Linked DNA regions of Lepisosteus oculatus. The protein of the gene in region 3 purifies or fractionates together with the protein of the main gene of each other region. This does not show direct contact. Links are inferred from orthologs where the notes say so. Each region holds a gene or a part of one and is shown on either strand. Other genes may lie near its edges. The genes, in order: bsg, rab2a, vdac1 and bcap31.

What was found.
Region 1: the proteins of vdac1 (region 3) and bsg purify together in Homo sapiens (affinity purification with mass spectrometry; 3 studies listed by BioGRID, with this or other methods). This does not show direct contact. The link is inferred for Lepisosteus oculatus from reciprocal best matches to the Homo sapiens genes VDAC1 and BSG.
Region 2: the proteins of vdac1 (region 3) and rab2a purify together in Homo sapiens (affinity purification with mass spectrometry; 3 studies listed by BioGRID and IntAct, with this or other methods). This does not show direct contact. The link is inferred for Lepisosteus oculatus from reciprocal best matches to the Homo sapiens genes VDAC1 and RAB2A.
Region 4: the proteins of vdac1 (region 3) and bcap31 purify together in Homo sapiens (affinity purification with western blotting; 3 studies listed by BioGRID, with this or other methods). This does not show direct contact. The link is inferred for Lepisosteus oculatus from reciprocal best matches to the Homo sapiens genes VDAC1 and BCAP31.

What each region holds. Positions count from the first base shown.
Region 1 is NC_090724.1:7,646,388-7,653,696, forward strand, and holds the start of bsg (basigin), read left to right. Parts: upstream 1-4,147; 5' UTR 4,148-4,277; coding exon 4,278-4,365; intron 4,366-4,452; exon of another isoform or gene 4,453-4,674; coding exon of another isoform or gene 4,675-4,756; intron 4,757-7,309.
Region 2 is NC_090701.1:50,092,253-50,100,223, reverse strand, and holds the start of rab2a (ras-related protein Rab-2A), read right to left. Parts: upstream 3,357-7,971; 5' UTR 3,199-3,356; coding exon 3,153-3,198; intron 1-3,152.
Region 3 is NC_090706.1:24,044,631-24,052,144, reverse strand, and holds the start of vdac1 (non-selective voltage-gated ion channel VDAC1), read right to left. Parts: upstream 3,322-7,514; 5' UTR 3,216-3,321; intron 1-3,215. UniProt on the Homo sapiens protein: Non-selective voltage-gated ion channel that mediates the transport of anions and cations through the mitochondrion outer membrane and plasma membrane.
Region 4 is NC_090697.1:76,379,611-76,387,130, reverse strand, and holds the start of bcap31 (B-cell receptor-associated protein 31), read left to right. Parts: upstream 1-4,370; 5' UTR 4,371-4,572; intron 4,573-4,784; exon of another isoform or gene 4,785-4,883; intron 4,884-6,271; exon of another isoform or gene 6,272-6,347; intron 6,348-6,552; 5' UTR 6,553-6,576; coding exon 6,577-6,668; intron 6,669-7,386; coding exon 7,387-7,487; intron 7,488-7,520. UniProt on the Homo sapiens protein: Functions as a chaperone protein. Is one of the most abundant endoplasmic reticulum (ER) proteins.

The DNA.
Region 1 (7,309 bases), on a different chromosome or scaffold from region 3:
CTTTTTTAAGTTATTCTAAGTTAAGGAATCATTTTTTTTTAAAACCATAATAAAAAAAAATAAAATGAACTATCCGGGAATCATGAATGGTTTGGAGGGGAAGGGGAGGGGTATAGTGAAAAAATTAGGAAGTTCTCTTGTTTAATACTCTGCGCCCTGTCAAAGACACTTCGAGCAAAATTCAGCACAGTTTGCCAGTTCTTTAGAGCTAACCCAGGCCCTAGTCTCAGTCGTATGGCTCTGGCTTTGCTCTTGATAACCAACAATTATTTTGAGTACTGTCTGATCCGAATTTTCAGTTACAAGATCATTATTAAAATACGATCCTTTATGTTACTGCTCCTATGTATCCCGTGCCTTAATGTGCAAAAAATAAGGGAATGATGTGATCAGTTAACACCTAGGGAGGGAGCCCAGGAACCGAAAAGGGAGTTTACTTTTTCCAGAAAAACAAATGTATTACTAATTAACGAGATAAATAATGTATTATTAACACGATGAGTGTCAGGACATTTGTTAAAGTGGTGGATTTAACGTTATTACATTTTTATAAGTTCTATATTCTATGCAAAGTCAGGAAAAGTTCAACCTTCCTGTTATTCATTAAGAGCTACATGCACCTACAGGAGAGCCGACTGCTGAAGGAGCACTGATGTGATTGGAGCTATTTAAGGAAGCCGACCATTGTAATCTTCATCCTGTGCTTCTGTCGACAATGCACACAGTTTATTTCTTAGTGGAAAGAAATGAACTTTTAAAGCTTACTTTTAAAAACATTATTTTCCGGTTGTAAAATATGTTGGGGATTGTTTTCATTGTACTTTAAAGATGTTGTGTTCCAGAACAAAGTTAGTTTTAAACAAGCTGTTAGGATTTGACTTTTAAGTGGATGGATGAGCATTGGACAGGACATGATTTATAATAACTGCAGTGGGGAATAGAATATAGGAACAAGTAAAGGTTTATTTGATGCTAAAGAGAGAAGAAAGAAAACACAACGTTTCCGCTGTGGAGCCTTCTTTGGGTGTAAGAAAGATAGGGCAGTCGGCAAAGATCCAGGATATCTTATCAGCAAAAATAGAATATAGTAAGTACATCATTAGATTTTCAAGAATACTGAATCTGGAATTGCACTATATGCAGAAGACACCAGATGGCGATGGTGTCCCTTAACCAGTCAATTCCCAGTGCCTCTTCCTATTTGCTTCCTGGTCAGAAGACCTAACTTAAAATATTAAAATATTACACATTTTCTTCTTCTATAATAGTCTAAAGGTTCTTTGGAGGGAGTTTATGATAGATGCCTTTAAGATCTCTTGTCGATAAGAAAGTGAATTCATTTTTAAATGTGCTCGAAAAACTTGAAATGATCAAGGCATTTCACAAAGAGAAGAAAACTAGCGAGTTCTGTTTCTGAGTCTCTCCTCGGCGCCCAGTTGATGTTTTTGCGTGCTCTTGCATGAGTGACATGGCCTGTATTAATAACTGAATTGCTTTAACAGTGTAACCTACAAAGAGGCTCAGGGTGTAATTACCTTTAAGGCTGCAGCATTATGAGGTAAACCGGAATAGAGGAAACCTGGGGCAGGCGATAGCGACACAAGAAGCAGACCCCGTCTGCTTGACCCGTAAACCAACATGACCTAGAACAGCATTGTGTCGCACAGCCAAGAGCCAAAGTAATGCAGGCACAGCTTACAAACTGTACACCACAAAGAATCTGCAACTGTACTATGAAGCAGTAAAATAACATAAAGTCTGCATTGAATTTTTCATTATCGGTGGATTAAAGATCACTACACAGTACAATAGTGTTGCCTTTGGAACGGGGGAGGCAGACTGCCCTTTAGTTGGAAAGGAGGTGCATTATTCAGTGAAACAAAGATATTTGACCAAAATAGCAAATCCACCCCTCTTGACACCTCCCCTCCTCTTTCCACCCGTTCCTCGGTACCTAAAGCCTACGCCTCTTGCATTGCATTATAGGCAGAACGTAGACTTCCTTTGCAGACGTGTTAAAAGTAGAGGGGAGATGACACCCAGTCGTTACAATAGGCTCCTTTTACAAATACACACTGAGCTGATTCTCTTATCATTTCTCGAGGTGATCCGATTTCATTTCCTTTGTCTTTGTTCTTCCCTTGCAGATAACATTGAATTAGTTTAATTGGTCTGGTATCCCTTTGGGCTCTTTACCACAAGGGGCAGAAACCTAAAGGGAATAATGAGGGGGCTGCAGATTTCATTCCCACTCGATCCTGTAATTTTAATTGTTCCTAACGAGTTGCTGCGGGTAAGGATGTCCTGGCTGCTCTGAACGCGCCTGAGATGAATAGCGATGTGGATTCTGGAGTTTTTTTTTATTTATTTTGCAATTAACAGTGCAAGAAGAGCTTGAATCGGGGTTGGGCGCAGACTGTGGGAAAGCAGGGGTATGCTGGAGCAGCAGCACCTCAGAACAAACCAGTCGGCTGGCCCGTAAACTACAGCTGTAACGGGAAACAAAACCTGCTGGACAGAAAGAAAGGGCTTCAGGGGACGGCCACCATAAGAGAAGAGTCTCTAGGGGGTCAGTCAGTGTCTTGCCAGCACTGACACCACTGAACAGAGAGTCATGGCCAGCTGGGTTTCACCACTGCAGTACCACTGTAGGCGAGGAGTGAGCACAAATTAAGGGCAGAACGGTGGCTCTGTGGCTCAGGATCTGCGCCTGTGGCTGGAAAAGGAATCCTAGTCCGCTGGGCCCCTGAGCAAGGCCCTTAACCCCAGCTGCTCCAGGGGCACCGTATAAATGGCTGACCCTGCGCTCTGACCCCCAGCTTCTCTCCCTGTCTGTGTGTCTCATGGAGAGCAAGCTGGGGTATGTGAAAAGACAAATTCCTAATGCAAGAAATTGTATAGGGCCAATAAAGTGATCTTATCTCTTAAGAACCCCCCCCCGTGCCCCCATTTCTGAAGGTAAAGTGCTAACCTCCACCACATTTCCTTAACTTGGACGGCGGACGGGCTCCCAGTTTTTATCAGCTAATAATGGGACCCTGTATGAGAAACTCATAAACACTTCAATTTAACTTGTCACCTGAGCTGAAAAACTTTATTATTAAAGCTGATCCTGGCTATAAGAAATGAAAAGCACGTATCAGCTTTAATAATAGATTAAACAGATCTGCTCTGAATCTGATACAGGTCAGCAGATCCACCGTTAACAGATTCAGAGCAGATCTGTTGTTTTAGAATGCCGATTGTACTCACTACAGGATCAGATCTCGCATTTCGTTAGCTGAAATCGGCCGTTTCTCAATTTGAGAGCAGTTTGCCGTGGCTCAAAGAAACGGCAGGATCTCACGCTTCAAGACTGGAGTAGGTAAATTACTTGGGACACTCGGTTTGCTATTTATCATGCAATCGCGTGTTCGCGGAGCGAAAGTATCAGGAGTTCTTAATTTGGTCGTGATCCCGAAGCCGTCAGTCTAGTGCAAACAACGAGTTCACTCTCAAGGTCTAATATAACCAGAACAGCGATGTTGTAAAACCGTCCTGTTTCGCGTATGAATCCACCTCGTGAGATTTTAAGACGGAGAATATTCTTTCTCGTTAAACAATAGCAAGTTGGACTTTGAGTCACGTAGAACGATAATTTGGCTGTGCCGTGGTATTATCTCAGTAATCTTACTGTGCTTTGTAGTTTTATAGCTACTGAAGGTAGGTGCTAAACAGGGCTCGAAAGAGGGGTTTAGGAGATTTTTTTGGCGTTGAAATATATAAAACGCAATTCAGTTCATTGGAAGTTATGACATTCATATTCTACCAGTAACTTAAAATATTATTGAAACCACAGCTGTTCCTCGGGGCTTTAACATTGTTATTTTAAGAAGACAGGGGAGGCTGCACAAAGATTTCCTGGCTATGTGGTACGGGAATGCCTTAAATATGTACTTCGCCCGCGGAAATCGTATGTTTTTTCCTCCACCACTCCTATATTAAAAAAAAAAACAAAAAGATCCATTTGAAACACTTGGGTCCCGTCGTCTTCCGACACACGCCGCGGCTGCTGCTGCTCTCGGTCACGTAACCTCAACCCCGCCCACGCCGGGGCGTGACGCGCGCACGCGGCCGGAAATGGGCGGGTACGTGCGCGTGCACGGCGCGGCGCGTGACGAGGAACAAATAGAGGACGACGGAGGGGGCTCGAGCCAGTGCGAGGCAGAGGGCAGAGCCGGAGCCGTCCGTTGGTTCGAATTGATCCAGAGGCGCTTCGACTTTTAATTTGAGCCGTGATGGTTTGTGACAAAGCCCGTACGATGGCGGTGTTTTGTACAGCGGGTGTCCTGTTGGTGTTCTTGTACGGGGCCAGTGCCATGACAGGTAAGACGCTCGTCTGTTTTTCTCCTCCCCTCGTCGGTAGCCCTCCCTTTTTTTGTATAACAAACAAGAATGTCATGGGTTGACCGCGGTCAACAGAAATGGGTACAATGGTCCCCCTGTTTCTTTTTTCCCCCCATACTGTAGAAATATAAATGCGATGGTCAGGTCCACCGTGAAACGTTGGTGAACACAAGCCTATAATAATCTGTTGTTTTTTTTTGTCGGGTGAGCGTGAGGCGGCTCGGTAAACAGTGGCGGTAGCCGGTAAGAAAATGGCCGAGGTCGTGTTACAGCAGCCTTCAGGTCCAGATGACCCTCGGGCTCGAAAAGACTCTTTTTAATATCGACGTTTTTGAAAGCGTGCCTTTCCATAGAGGCGCGACGGAGGCACGTATGTCTGTTTTTTTTTTAAGATGGGGGGGGGGTTTGACTTGTTTTGTTTTCTTTCATGAGCTACGTTCTTTTGCGATGTTTACAGGTCATTTGTGTTTTTAATGGTGTGTTTTTTTAAACACGGCGTATAAACGTTATTCCCATGTAGGGATACGGTGATACGAGTAGGTGGGTAATTTGGCGTGTGGTGAACAATCTCTACGTATACGTCGGACATGTAATCGCTACGTATAGACACGTGAGATTTTAAAGCATGTTTCATTTTTTTGTTCGTTTTTAGTGTCCCTAAATGGTCAAACGTACCCCGATAGTCATTCGGGGTCGGTTCAAACTTTAGTTTAAGCAAATGTGTTTTACTTATGGCCTGTTACTGCGTAATGAGGGCGACATTGGGTGGTGCTCTTGGGAGGCAACGTGTTTTCGTAAGATAACGCAGGAGCGACCTTAATATAATTATTATTATTAGTATTAACGTATAAAATTCGTTTTGCAGTCAATATGGAAGCTAGATCGTAAAAAGTTTTAGAAAAGGTAGCTGTAATAATCTTCCTGTGTTAGTCGGAGAGGCCGTTGTAGAATTGTTAACACCACATGCTGCTTAATCCGCCGGATAAACCCAGTTTACCTCCCGTGCCTTCAGGAATTAGAAAAAAACGGTAAAACTTCTCACGAAACTTCCCGATGGGGTTTAAATCAGAACGACCTGTTTTTGGAATGTGTGGCGGCTTCATGTCGCTAATTTGATCGATCTTAAGAAGGAGCGTTTCAAACAGGCAAGGCCGATCTGTCGGGTTTATCGCCGCATCGATCACCGTCTTCCGATGTAGGGCTTTAGGAGCCCCGTTTCAGCATAACAATGGATTAGGCGGTGTTCAGTACGCCTGCGATATGTTCGTTTAAATTTAGCACAGTTAAAGGGCGAGAAAAGAGCCATTTAAGGAAAGAGCAGGTTTAGCTATTTGTAGGTGCCTCACCTGAAATATGCTATTGAGTTTCAGGATGTATTTTTTGCATCCAGCAGAGGAGACAACTAAAATGCTTTGCTTCCGTGCTTGATATTCACATTAAGCATTTACAACTGCGGTCTGCCGTTTTCCTTTCCTGTTGCTTGGAGAGATGTGAAGGAGCGCTGATGCAGTCTGACGTTGAGCTGGAGCCAGGTGATGTCAACTGAAAATCCCTTGTTCTTAGGCAGCTGGAAGCACTGTCTTGGCCTCCAGGATGGTGGAGAGGCATGTGATTAGTTAAATCTCATTATCTGCTATTATTCCAACACTTGTGATGCCGAAGGTCCGTGACTGAAAGGGCCGTACTGAGTTTGTAAGCAGGAAGCCACAAGCTGTGTCAGTAACTGGTCACGAGGGGAATTTAATTTTAACTGGGTAAAAACTAATTGAGGCCCACTCATAGGGGTTTGACTACTGTAGAGTTGTGTAACATAGTCAAGGATACAAAAGTAATTTGGGCCACTATAGTCTGTTAAGGAGGTAGAGGCTTGGTACATATCTTTCAGTTTATACCCATACGTCTCTGGTGTACTGTGCATAGCAAGGCCTGATGGGTCTGAGAACCTATCTGTTCTTGAATGAAGCCATGCCCAGCTATTGTTCACCAGCAGTGTGGCTGCATCTTTTTCCATACTAAAGCAGTCATTGCAAGATGACAGGGTGCTCGGTATTGTGCTAAGGAGGCGTCATGAATATGACCAAGAAAGCCGTCACAGTTAAATTGAACAGGGACAGTTATACATTCACAAACCGTGTTTTCGGAAAGTTGTGGGAATGTAAATTATTTAAATGGTGTTTTGAAATTGTGGCTTGCACTGTCCACATCAGGTTCTGTTTGTGTAGAGCAAGCAATGAAAAATTGTTCAGTTAAAAGGGTAAGGAGTGAGACCTTGTGTTGAATTTACCAGTTTTTGCAGTGGGTTTTATTCACGTTATGCCTAAAGCATTATATAAGAGAAGATTTCTTGGCATACGGTTTATGTAAAATGTAGAATATTCTTCTTGGGAATTGTTTTCTAGAACAGTGGAGTTACTGTGCTGTTACTAGGTAAATCGTTTTCTGCTCGTTATGCAATGACAAGTGCTTTTGGTTGCTGTCTGCCAATAATACCGAGGGATACAACAGTCCCAGAGCTGAACTTTTCCTATAATGGCAGTGTCAGTTCATAAGTAAAATTAGCTTTCACTGTAGCACTGTGTGGCTGTAGTCTAACTGGGATTTTAAACATGGGGTTATTAGTCTCTTGTGTCCTCCCATTTATGAAATGCTATGGAAGTGTTACTTTTTATTGCATTTCTTTTCACCAAAAAAACAGATTGCAATGGGCACAATAATACATTCAAGCTCCCATATTGTAGTTTTATACTATAGCATTTATATAGTATGTTACTGGTGTAAAGAAAAACAATTGGCTCTTCATCACTTGTGGGGCTCCTTTTTAAATGTTAAGTGACTGTGGTGAGATGTGCAAAGTGAATGGGAACTGAGATTTGATTTTGAAAAGGGGGTTCCTGAGGGTGAGATTGGTAATTTGCTTAATGCG
Region 2 (7,971 bases), on a different chromosome or scaffold from region 3:
CAAGATACCAAGTGAGAAAGGAATGTGATTTGCTCTCAATGTGGCTCCTAATAATCGGAGAAAATATACAACTTCAATTTGAATGAAGAACTTTTAATAACTCAATGCATATTCATCTCTTGAAATTGTTATAATTACTACATAAAATTATTCTTGTCTATAGGCTACATTTCATGTCGAAGAGGATATTTTACATGGTAGAATTTTGTACAGATCACACCTTCCTTATCATTTATTATTTAAATAAAATTCCAATAAACGCCTGAAAAACTATTTTGTCTGATTTTCAGATGCTAAATAAGACTGTGATAAGGGGCGGTTTTATTATGGAAGTTGTATGGAGGAAGTCTGGAAGCAGCGCGTGATGAAACATGAGCTGAACTTGTGAAAATGTTCGGCCTCTTTTTTTTAAAGTATTCAAGCTCATTTCTTGAAACAGTATTTTAAAGCCTATTGAAAGAGTTTTTTAAAGAAAAGAGAGACTACTGAAACTTTTTCTAATGAATATCGAATTGGCAAAGGGCATGACCTCAGGACTTCAGTCTTAAATCTAGATTTAACTTTTCTAAAACAAATCAAAACTACATTTTCCTTTCTCTGCCTGCGTCCTCATCTTGTCCGATTCTCTGTCGCTCTGCCTCTCATTCCTCCTCCCTCTCCTCCTCTGGATCCAAGACAGTCACCACCGAGCTTCAGTTTCACGGTCGTCTCTTCCTCCTCTAAAATATTACACGCCACATCCTTTAAAACACACGCTGTCCCACAGAGCTTGCACTACTTCTCCCATTACAGCCAAGAAGTAAACGAGACTCACTGCAAAGGCTTGTCTGCCAGTCTGGCAGACACGTTCCAACCCAAGAGAGACTTAAAGTTGGTCATTGCACTGATCAAAGACTACTACTGGCTCCAGAATTCTACCAGGATCATTTGCCTTTAAATACAGATGCACAGCAGCATGCGTTACCAGCCCTTTCTTCAGCACACCGCCCTCGTTAAGGGCATGGAATGCCCTGCAGGGAAACCTGGAGGACATGCGCTAAGTCAAATCCTTTCTGCCGGTTACTATGGAAGACACTGAGCAACAGGAGCGCACCAGCTCTCCACACCCTTGCTGGAGTGCAGTCCCAGATGGATATTCCACATTGCATGAGCTTTGAACTGCAGTACACAGTACACCCACCACATTTCTACCCTCTGTGCAATATCACATGCAACATCTGAACCATTGCATTATAAAATAAGTATTAGGGAGCTGTACCAATTCAGCCTTGCTGACACAGGCCTTGTGTCAATGTCTGCAGTTACCATTTTGAGGTTAGGCCATTTAAATGACTCAATAACATTTAACTGTGAGGCACAACTTTGGTACTTCTCAGCAAACACAGAAAAATAAGACTAGGAAAGAGGGTGCTATGACAGGCAATAACATTTCGTTGAAGACCTGGGTTTAGCCATGTGTGAAAAATAAGTGGCGTTGTTGGATTGAGCAGGGGACACTTGTATGTGAGTTTACTTCATAAACCAAAGTTTGAGACCACAGCAGCTAATTACTTCACATGTACATCTTGTGAGAAACACAATCCGATAACTTCTCAGGACTCTGGGAAAAATAATTTTAAAATCTACAGCAAAATTAAAGACAACATTTATATTGGTAATGTATGAAACCTGCATTTATATTGTTGTGCAAAGGGTAGCAGTTAAATCAAAATTCTGCAAATACTGACCTGGACATTACTATTTTGACTGGTATGATAAAGAGTTTATAACCGATTAATAAACCAACATCATAACCACACGTACTGCCACCAGGAATGCAGCTCACTGATGTATAAAGTAAATGATTAAATAATTAAATATAATACTATTCTAAGTCACTTAAAACTTATTCTACCAAGTGGCAAAATTAGTACTGAATTAATTCATTTAGGACATGGTGAGGATAACAGGCTGTGCGCAAGTTTTACTTCAATCTTCCTATGTGCCAGTCTATAAAATAAATACATTCTTAAAAAACGTTCTTTCCTTATTTCCAGATAATAACGTCCATGTCTATAAAGAATAGTTTTGTATCTATATTTTAAGCAAATTCGCAAAACGTTGATTTGCAGGGGATGACATATGCGAAGATTATTTTTGAAGCGGATCTGTAGGTTTAAATTAGTCGGATGCCATCTAGGAAAGTATGTTATAACCTGTGATGCTGAGATGGTAAGTGCGTTAAGAGAGGGTTTCACAACGAACAAGAGAGCAAACTAACACGGGCTTTCCTCCCCGTTTCAGCTAACAGAAATATAGCTGAAGAAGGCTGAAACCCGGTCAAGGTGTCGCACACCGCCTAAGCAACCCAAAAGATGAAAGGGCATCTTTATCACGAAATGACCAGGGTCTAGCGAAGGCCCGGACTTTTGTCAAGCCAGCATATGCGAAACAACCCACGGAGCTCCCCTGACAGCTAGGAGAACTGCAAGGCCAGTTTTTTTATTATTTTCCTCCAACCTCCGATTATACTATTTATTCCCCGCAGGTGGAACAGTGTGTTGCAGGTGAGCTGGCATGCACAAATATAACCCCCCCATCACCACCTAGGCCTACAAAAAAAACCTGTCGCCGATGATTTACATAACCGAAAAGCAGAGTCAACCCGAAGGCTGACAGTCTGCAAAACCGCTGAAAACGCCATTTTCCCCCCCAAAGCGAAAACATTTCCTTCCCCTGCAGACGTTAACACGACGACGGGCAGCCGGCGATCTGCGGGCGGACTCGTCCAACAGTTGCCCGTCTAGCCCCCCAGAGAGGGCCGGCGCATCTTGCTACACGGGTCCGTCTTCGCCGGAGCCATTTTCGGGGAAAGGGTTATTTGGTGTTTGCAATGCAATTAGCCCCCACCTCCCCTCCACCCTCGCCGCAATCGCAATGGAAAGACACAAGCAGGCCGGTGCCGAGGCGGCTGCTGTCAATTCACCTGCCAAATGGCAATTATGTCACCTTAGATCAGTTATTTTAACGGGGGGGGAAGAAACTAAGCAGCCCTCCCACCCTAGCGTTCCTGTGCTTTTACCACGTCATTGACTCCAACACTGCGGAAATAAGAGAGAGACGTAAATGTCTCTCTCTCTCTTTTCCTACGCCGTCACACAGCGGCTGCTCACCCGTGTCTCCGATAATGATGTATTTGAAGAGATACGCGTATGCCATGGCCGCTGGGATGCTGTTTCTGCCCGGGTCTTGTGCTTTGCTCCCTCGCTGTGTTACTCGTTCAAGCTGTGGAGAGAGGAAGTGGCGGGGAAAAAGCCTGTGCTTTCTCTCAGTCTCACTCCGCTTCACCAGCCTCTTTCTCTTCGGCGACCAGAAGGAACAATAAACACCTCCGAGCTCCGGGCTGCCCACGTCACACGTTCCGCCTTCGCCACGCACGCAGAACACGCTCACATTGCTGCGCCCGGAAGTGCTGACATTGCTGCGCCCGAACCCGTATGTTAAGACGAGCGCCGACTGTCTGCTGTCTCTGTAGCCGTGCCGGCGCTAGTGCGCTGAGAATCTGTTTCACTGCTTTTTTGTTTAATTCTACATACTTACCCGCTTTGTTACTGACATCGCGTATGCCAAAGGTACAACACACAAAAATCCTATTCGAAATACAAGATGTATTTATCATGTGCCTTGTTGTTGAAATTAATTTGGCAATGCTTGAGTATTGGAATAATTCACCTATTACAGAGAGTTTAGACATACCAAAAAAGGCACGCAGGTTTTAAAACTTTACTTTTTGCCCTGTTCAAGGTTGGAAAGGTGTTCAGCAAAAAATGCTGAAATGTGTAAGAAAAGAATTCGTGATGTTAGGGATGAAGTCTGCATGTACTTCACAAACAAGACGTTTTAAAGTTTGTAGTCTCTGCAAACTTCCAAAAGTTCATTTGGAAGTGCCCAATGGAAAAAAAAACTGCCTGCTTCCACAAAAACTTAAAATAAAGTATGATATTAGAAACTATACTGGTAACATTAATGATTGCACAGCTTTGACAGTATTAGTGAATTAAAGAAGTCACAGGATTTTGTCATGCTGTCATGATAATATACATTTACTGTTGTGCTATAAGTTCTATAAAATTCTTCATTTCTACTGAGTAAAAATAATTCTGTGATATTTGATCAAATGCTTCTAACTTTTAAAGAATTTTCACAGGCTGACTCCTTAAGGGTGAGATTTACAGCTCCACAGTGTGAGATTCTGTAGAAAAAGCTAGTGCTGAAACCTATTCAGCTTCTGGGGTGAAACGATTACCTGTTCCAGTGCCCTGAATATTAATTATTTTTTTAATATTCACTTTAATTTCACTTTACTTGCAGGGAAGGTGTATATGAGTGCAATTTATGAAATTTAAGGACCTATGCCTGTGATTGTGAGATGACTTCAGAATGTGTGTTTCATTCTGGATATATGAGAAATCAGAGTCCTGGCACTTTGAGCTGTGCTTCTAGAAAAAATGGTAAACACATCCAGAACATGTATCTTATCTTATCTAAAGATGTAAGTTAGGATTTATTTGGGTTTTGAACCAGACACAAAGCGTTTGAGCAGGAGATAAATGGTTTCACACATAAATGTAACTAAATAATCTAAACAAAATTTAATAGAAGTAATAAACAACAGTGGTCAGATTTGGTATTCAAATGTTCAAACCGGGGAGAAACTTTGTTAAGCAGTTTACCCAACTGCATTGCTGAAAAGCCTTTTATCACCCCAAATTCAGACACAATTTGACTATGCCTCTGATTCTCCACTAGTTCTCAGACTATACTAGCTTATCCTGTCCTGCCATGTTCTCGGGAACTTAGCACAAACTGATCAAGTGCCTCACATTTGTTTATCTCAGTTCAAAAATACTGAGAGCATGGCACACACGGATGTAAAACCTCTAATCAAGCTTGCCAGGCACAATATCATGTCATGGCACACATTATTCCCTAAGCCTGTCTCACTATAAAAGGAGCAGTGGGTAGTTCTTGTTTTCAACCTGATTTTAGATGAAATAATACACCACATCAGGTTGCAAAATCTGGGCTTAGCCTTTTATGGTGTAGGAGATAATCCATGCCAATCATTTCTCCCTAAAAATAAGTTTCCTCGGACCTCCATCCCCATACAGCATTTTTCTGGGTGCTGCAACTTCCCAGACACCCTCAATAGCTGATTATCCCATTTTGGCCGCAACCTAAAACCGCCACTACTTGGGATCTTTGGAGTCTTCAATTAAGGCAACTGGAGTGTGATCCCGACTTGGGCACCACTCATTGATTGTGGCTGGGGACCATGTCTATCCGAAAAAGCATCCCAGCACGCTCTTTTTCCCACCCTCTTGCCCAATGCAGCCCATGTCCTGCCTGCCAGGGCTGTAGCTAATCCCTGTCATTGTAGTTCTGGCTGTTGGAGTTTGCACTGAGTCTCTGCACAACTCGCCTATCATGCGGGCTGCTTTTTTTATATTGCATGCCATTGCGATCAGTGTAGCACCAGCTGTTTCGCCATGACTTCTCCTCACCCGTGGGCTACCTTGGTGTTCTCACAGGATACACCTTTAGCTGTATCCTTCTGTGGTGTTGATCATGGCTGTCTGTACTATTCCTCTTTCCCTGAATCTCAGTTCTCTTTCATGAGGATCTCTACTAGACTTTCTAATTTGTCTGTTTTTTTTTCATTTTTCTCGTCTTGGCTTGAAGCTCTTAACCCTGCCATTGGTCACCAGAGAGACCTGGATTTCCCGGATTGTGTCGTCTGCATAGGGTCCTGGAAGAATGCTTTCGTTACAGTTCCATTCCTCATCAACAGTAGAAAGCCGAAAAAGTCCTGGCCAGCTAATCTCACCCTACTGTCATGGTCACACAGCTCCTTGTGCATCTTGCATTGCAGAATCCCAGTTACAGCAAGAGACAGAGTGACAGCCAATAAGGTCAACCAGAAGCGTAAGCCTAATGTGATGGAGTCAGCAAACACAGTCTGGGCTGGGGCAGTCATGAGGAGTGAAGGGGACGGAAAGGGGATTGGCTTGGCACCTGTCCCAGCAGCGCTTAAAGTAGTGGGAAAGGCCATTGACGCCACAACCTTTCTCTTCACAAACCCAGAGGAGGAAGCCATTGCCCTGTCATTGATGACACCTGTCCCTGAGACTCCATCAGGTAATGAAGTAAGTCACCTGCACAACGACACTGAATTCCCCGTATTCTCTGTATCACTGTGTATTACTCTATTTACTGTATTGCTCTGTATTACTCTGTATATGCCAGCAGCCATATCACCCTGCAACTCACATCTGGCAGCCCACTGAAGCTCAGCAGGTGTGAGCCTGGTCAGTACCTGCCAGCCAGGCGGAGTGCTGGCACTGTGGCTAAGGATCTGCACCTGTGGCTGGAAGGTTGCCGGTTCAAATCCTGCAACCGGCAGAGGAATCTAACTCCATTGGGCCCCTGAACAAGGCCCTTAACCCCAGGTGCTATAGGGGTGCTATACAATCTGACCCCAAGCTTCTCTCTCCCTGTCTGTATCTTATGGAGAGCAAGCTGGGGTATGTGAAAAGACAAATTCCTAACGCAGGAAATTGTATATGGCTAATAAAGTGATCTTATCTTATCTTACCTGGATGAGAGACCTCCTGGGAAAACCTAAGGTTGCTTCTGGAAGAGGTGTTAGTGGGGCCAGCAGGGGGCGCTTACTCTGTGGTCTACGTGGGTCTTAATGCCCCAGTATAGTGACGGGGAAACTATACTGTAAAAAGGCGCTGTCCTTCGGATGAGACTTAAAACTGAGGTCCTGACTCTCTGTGGTCATTAAAAATCCCAGGGCGTTTCTTGAAAAGAGTAGGGGTATAACCAAAATCCCCATCTATGAACTGGCTTCATCACTCTGTTCTCCTCAGTGTGTGGTGAGTGTTCTGGCGCACTATGGCTGCCGTTGCATCATCCAGGCGGGACTGGACATAGGTGGTGGTGGAGGAGAGTACCCATTATCCGTAAAGTGCTTTGAGTTATGTATCAAGAAAAGCGCTATATAAGTGTAAGCAATTATTATTATTATAGTTGGCTAGTGACACGACCCGGAACTGAATCCATGATCACAGAGTTCAGCTGTATTAAAAATAATGGAATTTCTTAGTGCCTTAAAAAGATTGTGTTGATTGGGAATGTACATGTATATTTGTATGTATTTCTGTTTCTATAGTATATTTTGTAATGTCTGTAATCACAGATAATCAGAGACCAAAAATAGAATTCTGGGTCACATTTTGCAGGGACCAAAATAGCAGGAAATACAGAACCAGTCTGCATGTGTGAGAAAAAAACACAAATGTATTCCACGTTCCAGGACTAAGAGAAAATTCCAAAGCTATAAAATGCAAATGGTATCAGAGAAAGCCTTCAGAGGACTTCCTCTCTTAACCTTAAGCTGTGGGTTAGTAGAGGAATGAGAAAATACAGGAAGGTAAGCGAAACATAAAAGGAAGATTTGTAAGATGAAAGGACTTGTAAAGTTAAAAGGAAAGTAAAGAAGTAGGTATAAGAGGAAACAGAAAAGGAAAAGAAGAGGTATGATAACCAAACCATATAACAGTTATCTATTTCTCATATTTTGGATACTGTATATTCAGAAGAAGAGACTTTTGATGTGTTAAAATCATTTAAGTCGTTAAATATGGACGTAAATGTAACTCAAATGTGTTGTTCCATGTTGGGTTGAACTAAGAGATAAAGAATGTTTTGTGTTAATTGAGATGAAAGTGTTGGGGCAGTTTTCAAAATGTCTGCCACTGGCTGTTAACAGAAGAAGGACACTAATCTTCAACTAACACATCCAGAAATAGAAATTGGGGAATTTTCAGAATGAAGTAGACTATGTATACAACATACACAGTAATGCTGGATTTGTGTTATGTTTTTTGGGCTGAAACCCAGGTCTTAACAAACTTCGATGCATCT
Region 3 (7,514 bases):
CAAGTGACACAATCCGGTAGGATGCTTATTGATCTGTGTGCCCCTTGGACAGCTCACTTCTCAAACAAAGGGAAGCAGAGCTCTATCCAAACTTCAAACTGCTCCTGTAGTGATTCAGGCAAAATCTGCATTTACTTCTTGCATGCAGCACTCACAAACTAAATAATCTAAAGTGTCCTTCCTCGGAGATTGTATTTCCATTTATGTGTATATCACAGTCTAATTTAACAACACTTTGAGCTGCTGAAATACCTCAAAGATAAGATAACCCAAAAGGCATCTAGAATTTAACAAGGCTTGCAAAACAAAGATAGTTATGCCATTCAGCATTCTTTAAATGAAGCCCAAGCTACACTAGTACGGAAAGCCTGTGGTTTATACCAGTAGTCTAAATCAAAGCCAATAGCGACCCTGCCTGCTGAAATGATTTGGAAGCTTCAAACAGCTCTCTCACTTTGATATCTAAAAACCATGCTGATTTTTTTATTAGGAATCACATTTTTAAATATCATCATGATCTATTGCTGACAGAACCACATTGACGCACTCTTTTAATAATAATTAATCATTGCTTACACTTATATAGCACTTTTCTGGACACTCCACTCAAAGCGCTTTACAGGTAATGGGGACTCCCCTCCACCACCACCACCAATGTGCAGCATCCACCTGGATGATGCAATGGCAGCCATAGTGCCCCAGAAGGCTCACCACCCATCAGCTATCAGTGGGGAGGAGAGCAGAGTAATGAAGCCAATTCATAGATGGGGATTATTAGGAGGCCATGATTGGTAAGGGCCAATGGGAAATTTGGCCAGGACGCCGGGGTTACACCCCTACTCTTTTTTAGAAACGCCCTGGGATTTTTAATGACCACAGAGAGTCAGGACCTCGGTTTTACGTCTCATCCGAAGGACAGATTTTTACACTTTTACAACACTTTTGTGTTGTAACAGACTAACAGCTATATAAACTAATCAATATAAAAATATGGATATTTCAAACACTTTTTCCAGCTCTTTACTGTGATAGTTTCAGTTTTGTATTTTTTCTGGCATCATTCTAATGCTCTTGTCTTCCAAGGAAAACCTGCACAACCCAAAGGAAAACACACATAAAGGACAATATCTCACGAGTCCTAAAACTGCTGGAGAGTGAAAAAAATGGAAAGGGAAAGAAGTCGATTCATTTCAAAAGGAAAGAACAACAGGAAATTTGTTCTTAAAATACAGAAACAATAATAAGAAAATAACTTTTTCCAGCTGAATAACACTTCCCATCCCAACAGATCTCAAAGTATCACACATATAGGATTAACTGATATGTAGACCTGGGTGATATACAGACGCCACTCTACACCTACAGCCCCACAACACAGCAGCTAAGATGAGGAAGATAATTATTTAATCAATTAAAACTACAGGAGAAGTTAAGCCAGGAGGTCAGAATGTGCAAGCCCAAAGTGGAATTTCTCCAGGACACTGGAATTAACACTCATTCTCTTATTCGTTTAATGTGTTATCCAAAGGACACATTCTTTTGAAAGCATCTCCTACACCACAGTGCCCCGTGACCATACTGGGGCATTGGTTTGAAAGGAAATTCTGGTTCAGAAAGAAGAGTGCCACCTAATGATCCACCAAAACCACTTACAGCGACCATCTTGTTTTCCCCAGATACCTCCCATCTCAGTACTGATCAGGCCTAACCATGCTTAGCTTCTAAGATCTTACAAGGTACATCTCTTGTATCTTGTCACAAGAAGTGATCTCTTCTGAGATTACTACAAAGTAGTAAAACTGCAACGGAATTAAGTTTTGCTCATTAGGGACAGGATACAAACTTCAAAAGAAGACAGAACCAATTATTGATGCATTTTGTACACCCCAGTACTGACTCTAAAACGAGTCCATTGGCATGCTTAAAACTCTATTAAATGAAGTGGACGGCAAATCAACTGCAGTGTGATGTGAAATATTCTATATATTCCATATAGATTCTTCCTCTTCATAGCAGACCTACACATATCCTCCAAGAGGTTTTAGTTAAGAAACCAACACACAATATCCTTGAAATTTTACAATGTTTTAGAAGTACAAAATTCACAATATCACTTAAATAAAAACACCATGATGAGAGTAAAACACAGTACATGAAAGTTATCTCACCCTTCATCTGTTTTTTATCTCATTAAGGCTCAATGAAAGTACAGCAATATATAAAAAGCCACAAGTCTGAAATGCCAAATGATGGTTTCTGAGCAGCAAATTGCCCTTTGATTCTCCATTTCTAAAGCTGTGCAACTGTCCTTTCCAAACCAGTCTGTGATGGATGCAATGTGTGCACAACCTTCTCAATGCTGAATAGAGGTCACCTGCTGTACCATCCAGCCGAGCGAGCGAGACACGAAGAACAGGCCCGACACATATCACCGTCTCAGACCAACCGGTGCTCACTTTGAAGATGACACTTCACATAATCGACTTCAGATTCAAAAGTCACGTTTTTGTTTTTATGCACGGTGTACATAAATAACTTATTCTACTTTTACAGAGACGTAAGTTAACCAACCATTGTATGCTACTTAGTAAAACCGACGAAGCAATGCTTGAAGTGATTATAAAATGATGTTCGGACTACCGACTGCGATTAATGCTGTACATTAAACGAAGTGTCACTTTGAGGGCCAAGATTCACATGCTTTCAAAACAAACTTCCGTAATAATGCATTTTTTTCACTAGAAGGTGTCACGTTTTATTCTATTATACATTTTTCAGCAATAAAAACACACATTAAATAATGATTTACAAATGGTGCTTTGACAGACATACGGATATACAGTATTTCTGCTTCAAGAGCATTTAGATATAAGCGTGAGTTACTCGACCTTATTTCTATCAATCTCAACGCATTTGTGCACAAACTGAAAAGCTAAATATACTATCATTGTTGCAATGACGCTTCAAATTATTGCTGACCACCAGCCTGATCACAGGAATTATCTAAGCCTTACTACCATTCCGAGGCCTGGCACGCACAAACGATCTACTTATCTGCAGTGCAGCATCAGCATCTTGTGAGCAACGCTTTTTTCCGGCAGGTTTTGCACGTTTGCAAGCGATATTATTTATGTTCCTTCAAGGTCGGTATCCAGTAGATACCAAGCCATCGTCGCGGTACATAAATGGCCTTTCTGGATTAAATTTCGACATACCTTAACTAGTGCTGTCTGATCCTGTTGGGATCCAACCCTCGTCAGTCGAACATCAGGAGGAGAAAGGGGAGGCGCTTCCGTCTTTGGCTTGAAGCATAGATACGCAGACGCGCATTGTGAAGACACGCCTCCGGCTCAGAGTGCATGGGAGGCAGATGGCTATATCTTTGTAAACCATGTGACACAACAAAAAGAATTACACCAATATAATAATATTCAACATTATAGCCATACGTGCAGAAAGTAAAATATGTTCTAGCAACATGAGAGCACGCTTGTGGCTTGCAAGAATAACAGACTTTACTGATAACAGGGCATGCTGTTGAGTTTTTGTACCAGATTATATACACGCTGATTTCTTAGAAAACCCTGATGTTGTATTTTTTATATGTTCGAAGTGTTCAAAACGTAACTTTTAGTTATTAATGAATAGCAGCTGTTAATTCAATTTTCTTTCAAATTCTGTGCTCACGGATGCAATAATCTGTTTAATACAAAGGAACAAGTAAAGATGTAATCCATGCTGAAAAGAGGAGAAAAGAAACACAACGTTTCGGCTGTGGAGCCTTCTTCATGTGTGTGCCTAAAGGTTCTGTTTCTTTTCTTCTCTTTTCAGTATGGAATACACCTTTAGTTGTTCCTTTGCAGTTTCCGCATGCTGATGCAGCTACCTACTTGAACTATTTACAACAATCCTATTGTAATAGAACAAAGTTCTCAGTTCGACAGATAATATGGTAACCAGGAATAGAATATATAGTTTATGTAAACTACATGTACTTAAATAGTTTAGTATAAATATGTCTAACTTCAAAAATCTTATGTGGTGTCACCACTGCTACAAATGATAAACTTGTAGTTCTTGATTTTTTTATCTGGTGAGGTGCAGCCTTGGGCTATGTTAATATTATGTATATATTTATATAATAAATACTATTAATATGATTTATAAGACAATCTTTAACATACCAGACGAGACCTGTGTGTAATTAATTTTAAGATTTCAGGATTTTCAATCACAGTTACCTTTTATTTCAGATATTGAAACTTAGTCTTTCAACAGGTAACTGTGTATGTCTTTGCTCTAATAGTGGAATTTAACAGTGAAGTTGATATTTTTTAGTACAATTTTGAATGAAGATATTTTTATTATATTAATTTCAACTGCTTTTCATAGACTGTTAAATATTTCAGTTTCTTTAAAAACACACTTATATACCTGCCAGGTGTTCTTCGTTCCTAACAAGGAACTCTGGGTCTCAGCGATGCATCATTACTTCAGTGACAATTTTGTCCAAGGGTGTTACCTAGAGGTAGGACAGCGTGTTTGGTTGGAGCTGTGCAATGGCATAAATGTTTTAATTGGTATTTTAGAAAATAAATGTATATAAAAACTATTTTCTGTCACAAGTCTATAATCAAATCTTTATAACATTTTGTAATGATATTTTTTTGTAATTATGGTCTCTCCCTTTTCTGTGATAGTCTTCTTCTGTACGAGCATTTTGGTTTATTCATGTGACTGGAAATCCTGGTGAGAATCAAAAATGGTAATATGGTAATTGCTTTTAGAAGTTGGCTTCACCATCGTAGGCTTTTACATCATGTGTGCAGTCATTAGCTGAGTGACAGCAACAGTGTCAATTTACTATACAGTGTATCTTCAAACAGAAAACCTTTACAAAATTTGTGTAAAACATTTTAAAAACGCTGATGTGCATCCAGGGTGGCATAGTCATGCAGTCATTAGCACTACTGCCTCACAGTGCTGGGGCCCTGGGTTCGATTCCAGACCTTGGACCTTGGACCTTCTCTGTAGAGAGTTTGTTTGTTCTCCCCAAATTCTTCTGGGTTTCCTCACACAGTCCAAAGACATACTGGTAGGTTAATTGGCTTCTTTGTCAAACTGACTCTGAGTGAGTGTGTTTGTGTGTATGTCCTGTGGTGGGCTGGTACATCACACCCAGGGTGTACCCTACATTGTGCCCATTGCTTGCTGGGATAAACTCTGACTTCCCCATGATCCATAATAGGAAGAGGCAGTTAGAAAATGTTTGGGTGTACATGTTGTGAATTTATAATAAAAGTAAAATGGACTCGTTGCTTACTTTTGTTTTTCTTGCTTTGCACTATATCAGTTTTAAGATGACTGCTAAGGAAACTTATTTAAAATAAGTTATTTAAAATGCATTGAGTTAATCATTTCTTCTGATTAACTCAGTGTCACATGTAATTTTTATCCTCAGTCCTCAACACCCATTTTTACTCTTGCTGTCCACACTGTATGGTGATTTTAAAACCTCTGTTTTGTGTGCTTTCAACACAACTTCCTTCCCACCTTCTGAATGTAACTGGAAAAGGAAAAACCATAGCTTAATCACTATTTTCACTCAGATTTCATTTTGCAACGCTAATAAGCTAGCCTAAAATGTTAAAATTGAGCATTGTTTGCACTGAAATAGAAAAAACTCTTTATTGTTTTTATAAGCATTTTTTTAGCTGTGGCATGAATTAGAATATGTATATTTATACAAACCGTGTGAGTTTTACACTGGATTTATTTCTTAAGGATATCTGTATTTTAGTATATTTATAATAATAAAGTGGGAAATGAAACTCAACATTTGTTTGTGATATTTAATATAAGAAACAAGTCAATAGTTTTGTTCTATGGCTTCTTTTTATTGTTCCCTTCACTCCTCTTCTTCTTGACTTCCATCATTATCATCATCATATTCTCTTCATTCTTAGTATTGCCATCACCGGATTTATCAAGTTTCATTTTTCTTTATCAGAATTATTTTTATTCATAATCTGTTAAAATATGTAAAACACCACCTCTATTGTCTCAGAAGAACTGCGTTACACGAATATTTTTTTACTTTTTCGTTAAATGCAACATGTTTTGACAAAATAGCAGGGATGTGGTAAGCATAGAATATCTGGAAGAAAGCCAAACCCCTGACTTCCTTTAATATACTACATCTCATGCAACTAACAATATTCTTATCACTGAGTGCCAAGACCCACTTTTACTATATTTAAAGAAAACTGGATGATAACATTCAGAAGTGGATAAAGAACTCATCACATGAATAACAAGGAAAAAAGAAAACAAAAGGAAAGATAAGTCACGTCCTGTAACGTGAAAAAAACTAAAGGTACTGTATTGAACTCAATGTGTCACAAGATGGCGCTCGAAGCAGATTAATGCTCTTGGAAGCAATACGTTCTTGTTTTTCCTTTACATTTACTAGCGCGTGAAATTAGTTTATAAATATTAGTCTTTCTTTGAATATTATATTACAATGATCAGATAAGTTATCAAATCAATCAATTTGTCGATTTACGTTGAGCTTGTTTTAATTGCACAGATCCGAAGGATATTTACACAGACAAGCTTGAATTTTATCTGGTTTACAGAACATTTGTAACGGCTTTCTTTCTACATTACTTACTTACAAATACTTTTGGAAACATGGCTTCTTGTTTGTGCTTCTTGCTAGTTATCATAAAAATACATTTTAAAAATCAAAACACAAGTGAGAGGATTAGCACTTAAGACATTAATAGAGAATTAGGTTTCCTTTATTTTCCAAATTTTTAATTCGAAAGTTCGCTAGATTTAATACTAGAAAATGTGTGCTTTAATTGATAAACACATTGCTCTTAGAGTGTGTTTTGCAAAGCATGAAGTACTTAGAAATACATTAAGTTTACGCAAAACGTTGAAACAAGAAACAATTTTGTGATTTGTCTGTTCTGACACAGATTTGTGTTAATACGATTATCATTGCATTTTTGTCTTTAACACATTTAATTACTACTGAAACACAAGTGTATGTTCTTTTCCATTGTATAACTTTTGTGTTACTGAAAAAACACGAGTGAATCCAGTTGCGAGCTCTAGATTCTTGATTAGAAAATGTAGAACAATTATTGCACTTTTAAAAAAATGTAAATTTTAATAGATGTATTAATTGCCTATGACTAATGTAATAATTTTATAAATATGATTACTGCGTGATTAAAGTATTTCATTATAAGGTCTAAATATATCCTGTCAGGCCAATGAAAACTAGGCAAACATCAAGGCATACCATATCAAAGTCAGAAACAATGATCATCAAATGAGCACACATTTTAAGATATTGCCTGCACAATGAGAAATCATACAATAAAACAGAAGCAACAGATGGACAGATAAATTATACATTTGTATTCATGTTATAAAACATAATAAAGGATTGTTTTTAATAAAATTCTATGCTTTGAAATTTCTTTAAAGGATTAAACTGT
Region 4 (7,520 bases), on a different chromosome or scaffold from region 3:
ACTACTGCATTCACAATAGCTAAAACGGACAGGTCAGGGGTTCAGGGGTTGCAAGTGTGCAATGGAAGGGCCAGTTGTGTGTTTTTCACATCTCCACTTCAAAAACGGTCAACTGGGACAGTTTCCATCTGGCTTCCAAACTGTCAAGCGCTGTGGCGTGCTCCTTGTGGAAGTGGCGTGGTACTGTCTCTTTTGTCAGGGTTTGTATGACTCCAGAACAGCAGAAGGGTTGTAAAAGACAGGAGGCCGTTTTAGCTTGAACTACTGGTTTGGCCTCACCCAGCCGCTCCTCGAATGGCCCTGCCTTTAATGCCTTAGCCTGGCGGTTGGTTCCAGGAGCAGAGGGGAAATTCAGCGTGAAGACGTGCCACCTGTTCTCTGTCCTGAAGGCAGGCCCAGTGCATGCGATTTGTTTTTGTATCTGGTTCAAATCCCCCAGCGATCTCCTTTATTCAGAACTAAAGAGAGGTGGTTGCTCTAACCTGTCTGTCGTGCTATACCACTGGCACCAGCTGCGTCACGGACAGTATGAGGCAAGAGCAGGTGTTGCACTTCTGCATCTCTGTTAGTGGAGAATGCACTTTGCCCACTCGACAGTGTTATGGGTCAACGAAACAGCTGTCGCTTTTGTAAAGCTATGGAGTGAACATGGGTGTCTCGAGTGTATGTTTTTAATAATAATGTCTTATAATCTGAACAAATCAACAAAGAACAGTTTTGCTGCCTAAACCATTTCGAAGTCACCTGTGCAAAATCTTTATTGTAAAACCTAGCTCTCATTTCAAACACTCCGGACCTGAACTCCCCAGGTGAACTTTTCTAGCAGGCTTGGAGATGGTGGGCTAAGTGCTCTGGCTGGAATGACCTTTATGCTGATGTACAAATTCTGGAGAAAAAAAAAAATCATCACCAGTAATGTTCAGCATTGTAAAGCACTCCAAAAATACCTTTTCTGGCTCTCATTTCTATGTATTGATGTGTTGTATCTGCTCCTCCAAGAACGAGAGAGAGAGCAAAGACGTTTGACCACAGCTCTAGTCTTGTGGTTTGGGTACATACAGCTACAGCGTTGTAAGAATAGTTCTTGTATTTTTCTGAAGTTTTATACTAAAAAAAATCCATACATGATAATACAATACAATACATACAATGATAAGTTAATACTTATGTCTTAACTATTAAAACAGCGCTAGTACCTCAGACCGATGCTTTCCAGTGTACCGCAGTGTTTCGTAGTGAAGTAGCTTTTTACAGACGCTCACATGTAATTGGCCAATTTGACCAGCAGAGGTCTCTGTTTTACTACATTCGTTCCTATACACTAAAGGCCATTTTCGTTTGGGTGTTACTGAATAACTTAAATTACTTTGGATTTAATAATAATAATAATAATTGCTTACACTTATATAGCACTTTTTTCTGGACACTCCACTCAAAGAGCTTTACAGGTAATGGGGATCCCCTCCACCTCCACCAGTGTGCAGCCCCACCTGGATGATGTGACAGCAGCCATAGTGCGCCAGTCCTCTCCCCACACAGCAGCTCTCAGAGAGCAGAGTAACGAAGCCAGTTCAGAGAGGGGGGTTATTAGGAGGCCATGATTGGTAAGGGCCAATGGGAAATTTGGCTAGAATGCTGGGGTAACACCCCTACTCTTTTCGAGAGACACTCTGGGATTTTTAATGACCACAGAGAGTCAGAACCTCGGTGTTATATCTCATCCAAAGGATGGTGCCTGTTTACAGTACAGTGTCCCCATCACTATACTAGGGCATTAGGACCCACATGGACCACAGGGTGAGCGCCCCCTGCTGACCCCACTAACACCTCTTCCAGCAGCAGCCTTAGTTTTTCCCAGGAGTCTCCCATCCAGGTACTGACCAGGCTCACACCTGCTGAGCTTCAGTGGGCTGCCAGTTGTGAGCTGCAGATATGGCTGCTGGCTGATTTGACTTGGAGACACGTGTTCTGCTGACAGTTGCATGCACACAGCTCTCCAGACTATAAGCTGCACAAACATGTGATGCACGAGGGAGAAACATATATTTTCAATACACTACTATCACAGTTTCTGATGCCATTTTAAGAAAAGTGATCTATATACTATGTATATATTTACACAAAATTAACTGTTCAATACTCTTCTAGTCAAATTATATTTTTTACTTAAGAGGGTATACAACCGAAATTACGTCGTCAACACAAATTAGTTTTAAAATTATATTTTTCTAACTATTTTATTAACTCTATATTATTAAACTCAAACGCAATGCAAGACCATTGTTTTTGTCCACTGGATTTCACCTCTGTTCTATTGTACTTAGCAATTTTGCAAAGATGTGTTTCTTTATGCAAACTTACTCAGTTCAGGTACAAAAAAATAACACAGCACAAAATTCGTCAGATAAATTCTTTGCTTTTGTGGATGCTTATTCAAACAGACACTGTTTTGCAGATTTTGTTGAAGGAAGATTGTTTTACTTGGTGAACCAACACAGGGTTTACTATGTCTGTTACAAATGGCATCATGGTTAAAAGACATTTAACCTTCAGTTTCCCTGACTGTGTCTGGGTAGTGGCCTCTCCTCATTTTTCAAATGACTGGCTTGGAAGAGCTGTGACAGAGCAGCCTTCTAATCATTTATATTTAACATTAATATATATATTTTATTCTGTAACCTGTATATTTGTAGAGCCCAGTGAACACATTTTGTAGCTGCCAGTATTTAATCCTAGACTGAATAAGCAACTTTTAGAAAAGTATTTTAAGTGAATCCTTGAATATTTATTGACTAGGGTCACTTGACATTTCCAGAATGCTGGCCTGTTTTGCAAGGTTTGCAGTATTAGGTCTCTTTAGTGGTGCTTGCAATTTTACTGACAGTATTTGTCTCTGATTTGTCCTTATCTGTTTATGTCAAGACTTGGAACTGTTTCTGGAGTGAAGGAAACAGCTGTTCTGTAACTGTTATCATTATTGTTAAATTGTTTTTTTTTTCTGTATTGCTGAATGTAGTTAGACCTCAGTGCTTCTGTCAGATCACTGGGATGCAAACATAATGTATGCTTTACTGACACACAGAGACTTTAAAACCCTTTTCAGAACTTGCATTTGAAGGAGTCTTGTAAGAAAGCCTTTAATAAAAAAACAGCTTGTTGTGTCAAACATGTTTTGTGTAATATGTTTATCAGATTTTCTACCCCTGTTACATCTTAGCAAAGGGAAGGCAATTTCTATCAAGGTGACAAAGTATCACAATCCTGGCCAGAGGACGAGGAGGCTGGGACCCCCTGCGGACTGAGGGGGGCCCAGGGGCGGCTGCAGGGGGAGGTGGGGAGCAGGAGGGGTGCAGGAGGCGTGTGTGAGGGAGAGGGGGGGACCTCGTCCGGTCTTTATAGTGCTTCAGGAGAGGAAATGACATCACGAGTGACTGCTAATTACTGACAGCTGAGTCTGATTGTACTGGGCTGTTGTCATCCATCCCAAACTTTCGTTGTGAACTCCATTCATTAAATTAGTCTGTGCAGCACAGGTGTGGCTCCTTTTCTGTTCAGTTGTATGGATAGTATATTTTCTGCTTTGTCAACCTTTTCTCTGTGTTTTTCTGCCTCCTATCTGGAATGTACAGGGTGAATTAATCCTTTCAAGAGTCATTTACCCTAATTCAGTGCTTATATGAAGGAGTACTCTCTCAGTGGTGCCTACCAAGAAAATCTTCTTTCATCCATGCGATGTAAATTATTGTCCAGGAAAAGATCATTTGTTCCAAACCCCTGAATAATCCTTATTTTTTATAATCCCTCTCATCACTTACGTCATTTTGCTGTTCTCCCGTCATTCACCGTGGGCTATTAAAGCAATGCTCCTGGCAAGAGCACTTTGTGTTCTCTGAAGCGCTGGTTTCCTAATTCTAATGTTCTCAAGTACAGCACGTACACATGATAAACGTCAGGTGATGATTTCAGATCCTCACAACTCTGTGCGTTTCATTAGAAAAAAAAAACTTGAGCCGCACCTGCAAACATCCTGCAGGATCAGAATTCCGTATCCTGTAGAAATATTTGTTTTTTCTCTTCGGTAAATTTTAGGATCCCTAAAACAGACCGTCAAGATAAATGTATGGTTCTTGTTGACAGCGTTGTATAACATCTGTAAGGGGCAGAACATACATAGGTGCGCATTCCAAAACACGTATGCACATACTAGAAATTAAGAAGTGAACCCCGAGAAGTGGAAATTAAGATTCCGCATTCTGTTTATACAGCTCTTCATTGCCACCATGAGGTGATACAGCAATACTACCATTCAATACAGTATTTTTATTTTTTGGCAGCTTGCCACGCCCCCTCGTTTTTCTCCTTCCGGGGTTATGTCGTGTCTCTGGCTTCTCCTTCCCGGGTCAGAGTTCAGTGTTTGCACTGTATGGTCTGTTGATGAGCTGGAGTTTGCAGACAGGACATTCCCGGAGCAAAACTGAGAACAGAGTATTTTGTATTACAATACAATAAGGACTCGACAACCTAAAAGCTCAACGGCGAAAACAACGAAAGCTCATTCATCAGTGGAGAAAGGTGAGTGTCACGGCAATGACTCTGCGTTTGTGAGTGATTTAATGATGAAACGATGGGAGTGAAGGTTTAAATTAGCTACGTCGCAATAAAATGTTTTGTGACGTTTAATCACCAAGCCACTTAACACTATAATTAATTATGCCTGTTTATGATTATAAAGCTTTTTAATTTAATCAGCTAAATTACTGATCTCATTGCATGTAATGTCGTCACTTACTGCTGACCAATCCGAAATGTCACATGAACGCATAAACGCAGTTCTCTAAAAAGGGCGTGGTGTGGTTGACTACCTTCATACTTCGAATACAAAAGTAAGATATTGAAACAGCTGTGTGCATTTTCATAATTTTAATATTTCACCACCAGTATCGTGATCCGAAGAGAAGAGTTCAGGAGGCGTGTTCGCTGTTATCAGTCGCGCAGTTTCGACAGTGCTCTGTGCTGCGGACTTCAGCCCGGAACTGTAGACTTGGCTCCTGACGGGATATATGTTCAGTGCCTGGAGTCGCTACCTTTCTCGCCCTGTGGGAACTGATACTTGGTTTCTATCGGTGCAAAACAGGTGCCCAGCCATTAGAAAAACAAAAGACAAACATCCACAATTTGCAGTTTCTCTTACAGTGTCGGAATATTAATACAATTTCATAGACGGCACAGACCTGTTTATGCAATAAGGCTAAAGAGGGATATTTATATATATATATGCGTTAGTGTAATTTAAAATTAGGGCGACAGCACCTGGGATTAGGGCGGATACTAACTAAGTTTAACGTCTCTATGCAAATATGTGAAAAGGGTGACCTGTTTGAAATAGGCAGCCCCTGATGAGGGTTAATTTGAAAGCCTGCTGCTAATGTTTGAAGCCAGCCATGGCGCTGTGGAAGGGGCGGGAGCTTTGGTGCGTATGTAGGGGGGTGGGGCTTATAATGTTACGTAGTCGGATTGGACAGCAGCGTAGGGGCGGGGTCTGTGGTGTGCGGTGGTTTGTTTTCCTGGGCTGAGTCTAGATCAAACTAAATCAAATCCAAGGTGCCCAGCATTTCATGATGTTGATATTAAGAAATCTGTAATGATAACAAAAACAACTCCCAGCTTCCAAATCACCCTGCACCTCACAACTGGCAGCCCCCTGAAGCTCAGCAGCTGTGAGCCTGGCCAGTACCTGGATGGGAGACCTCCTGGGAAAGCTCAGGCTTCTGCTGGAAGAGGTGTTAGTGGGACCAGTAGGTTGCGCTCACCTTACAGTCTCTGTGGGTCCTAATGCCCCAGTTAAAGACAGGGGCACTATACTGTAAAAAGGCCCAGATGAGACGTAAAACTGAGGTCCTGACTATGGTCATTAAAAATCCCAGGGAGTTTCTCGAAAAGACTAGGGATGTTATTCCAATGTCCTGGCCTTTACCAATCATGGCCTCCTAATAACCCCCATCTCTGATCTGGCTTCATCACTCTGCTCTCCTCCCCACTGAGAGCTGCTGTGTGGGGAGAAGACTGGAGCATCATCCAGGTGGGGCTGCACACTGGTGGGGATGGAGGGGATCCCCATTTCCTGTAAAGCGCTGTGAGTGGAGTGTCCAGAAAAGCGTTATATAAGTGTAAGAAATTACTATAAATTATTATGAGATTTCTTTAACAAGTGAACACCCTGTTTTCCTGTTCCGTGGCCTGACAGGAGATGGCGCCGTTGCACTGCTGTGGGCCTGAGACTGATCTCCTGTGGCAGTTGTGCTCAGTGGAGCTGGGTGTGAACAAGCCCATTACAATGCACCCCCACTGTGAGTTGTAGGCAGCAGTAATGAGCACCCTGGGCCCTGGTTTTCGCTAACGCCTTTTTAGCAACCCCAGAAAACAGGACGTGCTTTACAGCTGTGGCCCCAGCACCCTTCTTGATGGCTCCCTGTGGCGATCTGGCCTTCGCAGCACCTTGCCCCCGGCCCCCCCGTTCAAGGGTTGTGACGGTGCCTCTCGTGTCCCCCGCAGCGTGAGAGCCGACAGCCCGAGACGATGAGTCTGCAGTGGACGGCCGTCGCCACCTTCCTGTACGCGGAGGTCTTCGCCGTGCTGCTGCTCTGCGTGCCCTTCATCTCCCCGACCAGGTAACCCCCAGCTCGACCGCTGCGGACATCTTCCAGCAGGCCCAGCGGAAAAACACCCGAGAGCCCTTTCCTGCTGTGTGCTTGTGGACCGAAGGCCAGAGAATTGTCAGAAAGGACAGCAGCTCCCGAGCCTGTCCGGTCAGAGAGCGAGCAGGACTAAAGGACAGAGGAGCCAAATTCTGGGCAAGGGCGGACTGATTGTGCATCATCATTCGCTGTGAAAGCCTCTAGATGTTGTGCATCAGAATTAAGCGAGAGTGCTGAGCTGCGATTGAAAGGCTGTTAGAATGGAAACGGGTTGTGCATATTCATCTGAATTTAATGGTTGAATGTTTCCATGGTGGTTAAGGTGTTGTTCCTTGTTTGCCCACTTGCTCATATTGTGGACTTACTCCGTGCTTTCTGTCACTATACAGCTGTGGGGACTGAAGCAGTTGCCTTTGTGACTTTGTTAGAAAGTACAACACAAAAGGGAACCTATGTGGAACTGCCCCTTCCCTTTTCAGAACAGCTTTCAGTTTAAGAACCTGTGCATTGCTAGTGTTATGGGGCAGCTTGCTGCAGAACTCAGCTCTTCCCCTGGTGGGCCTTGTGCAGCTCTCATGTGCGTGCGTGTGTGTGTGTGAGAGAATGTGTGTGTGTGGGCGCACGTGTGTGCATGCTCAGAGTTGCATGCTGCAGCCAGTTCCTCACAGTCTTGTCTGTCTCCCTCTGGCAGATGGAATAAGATCTTCAAGTCTCGTCTGGTGAAGGCCATCACAACATACGGCAACACCTACTTTGTGGTGCTGATCCTCATTCTGGTCTTTCTGCTCATTGGTGAGTGTTGCCGACCCTAGTGGCAAGGAGGAG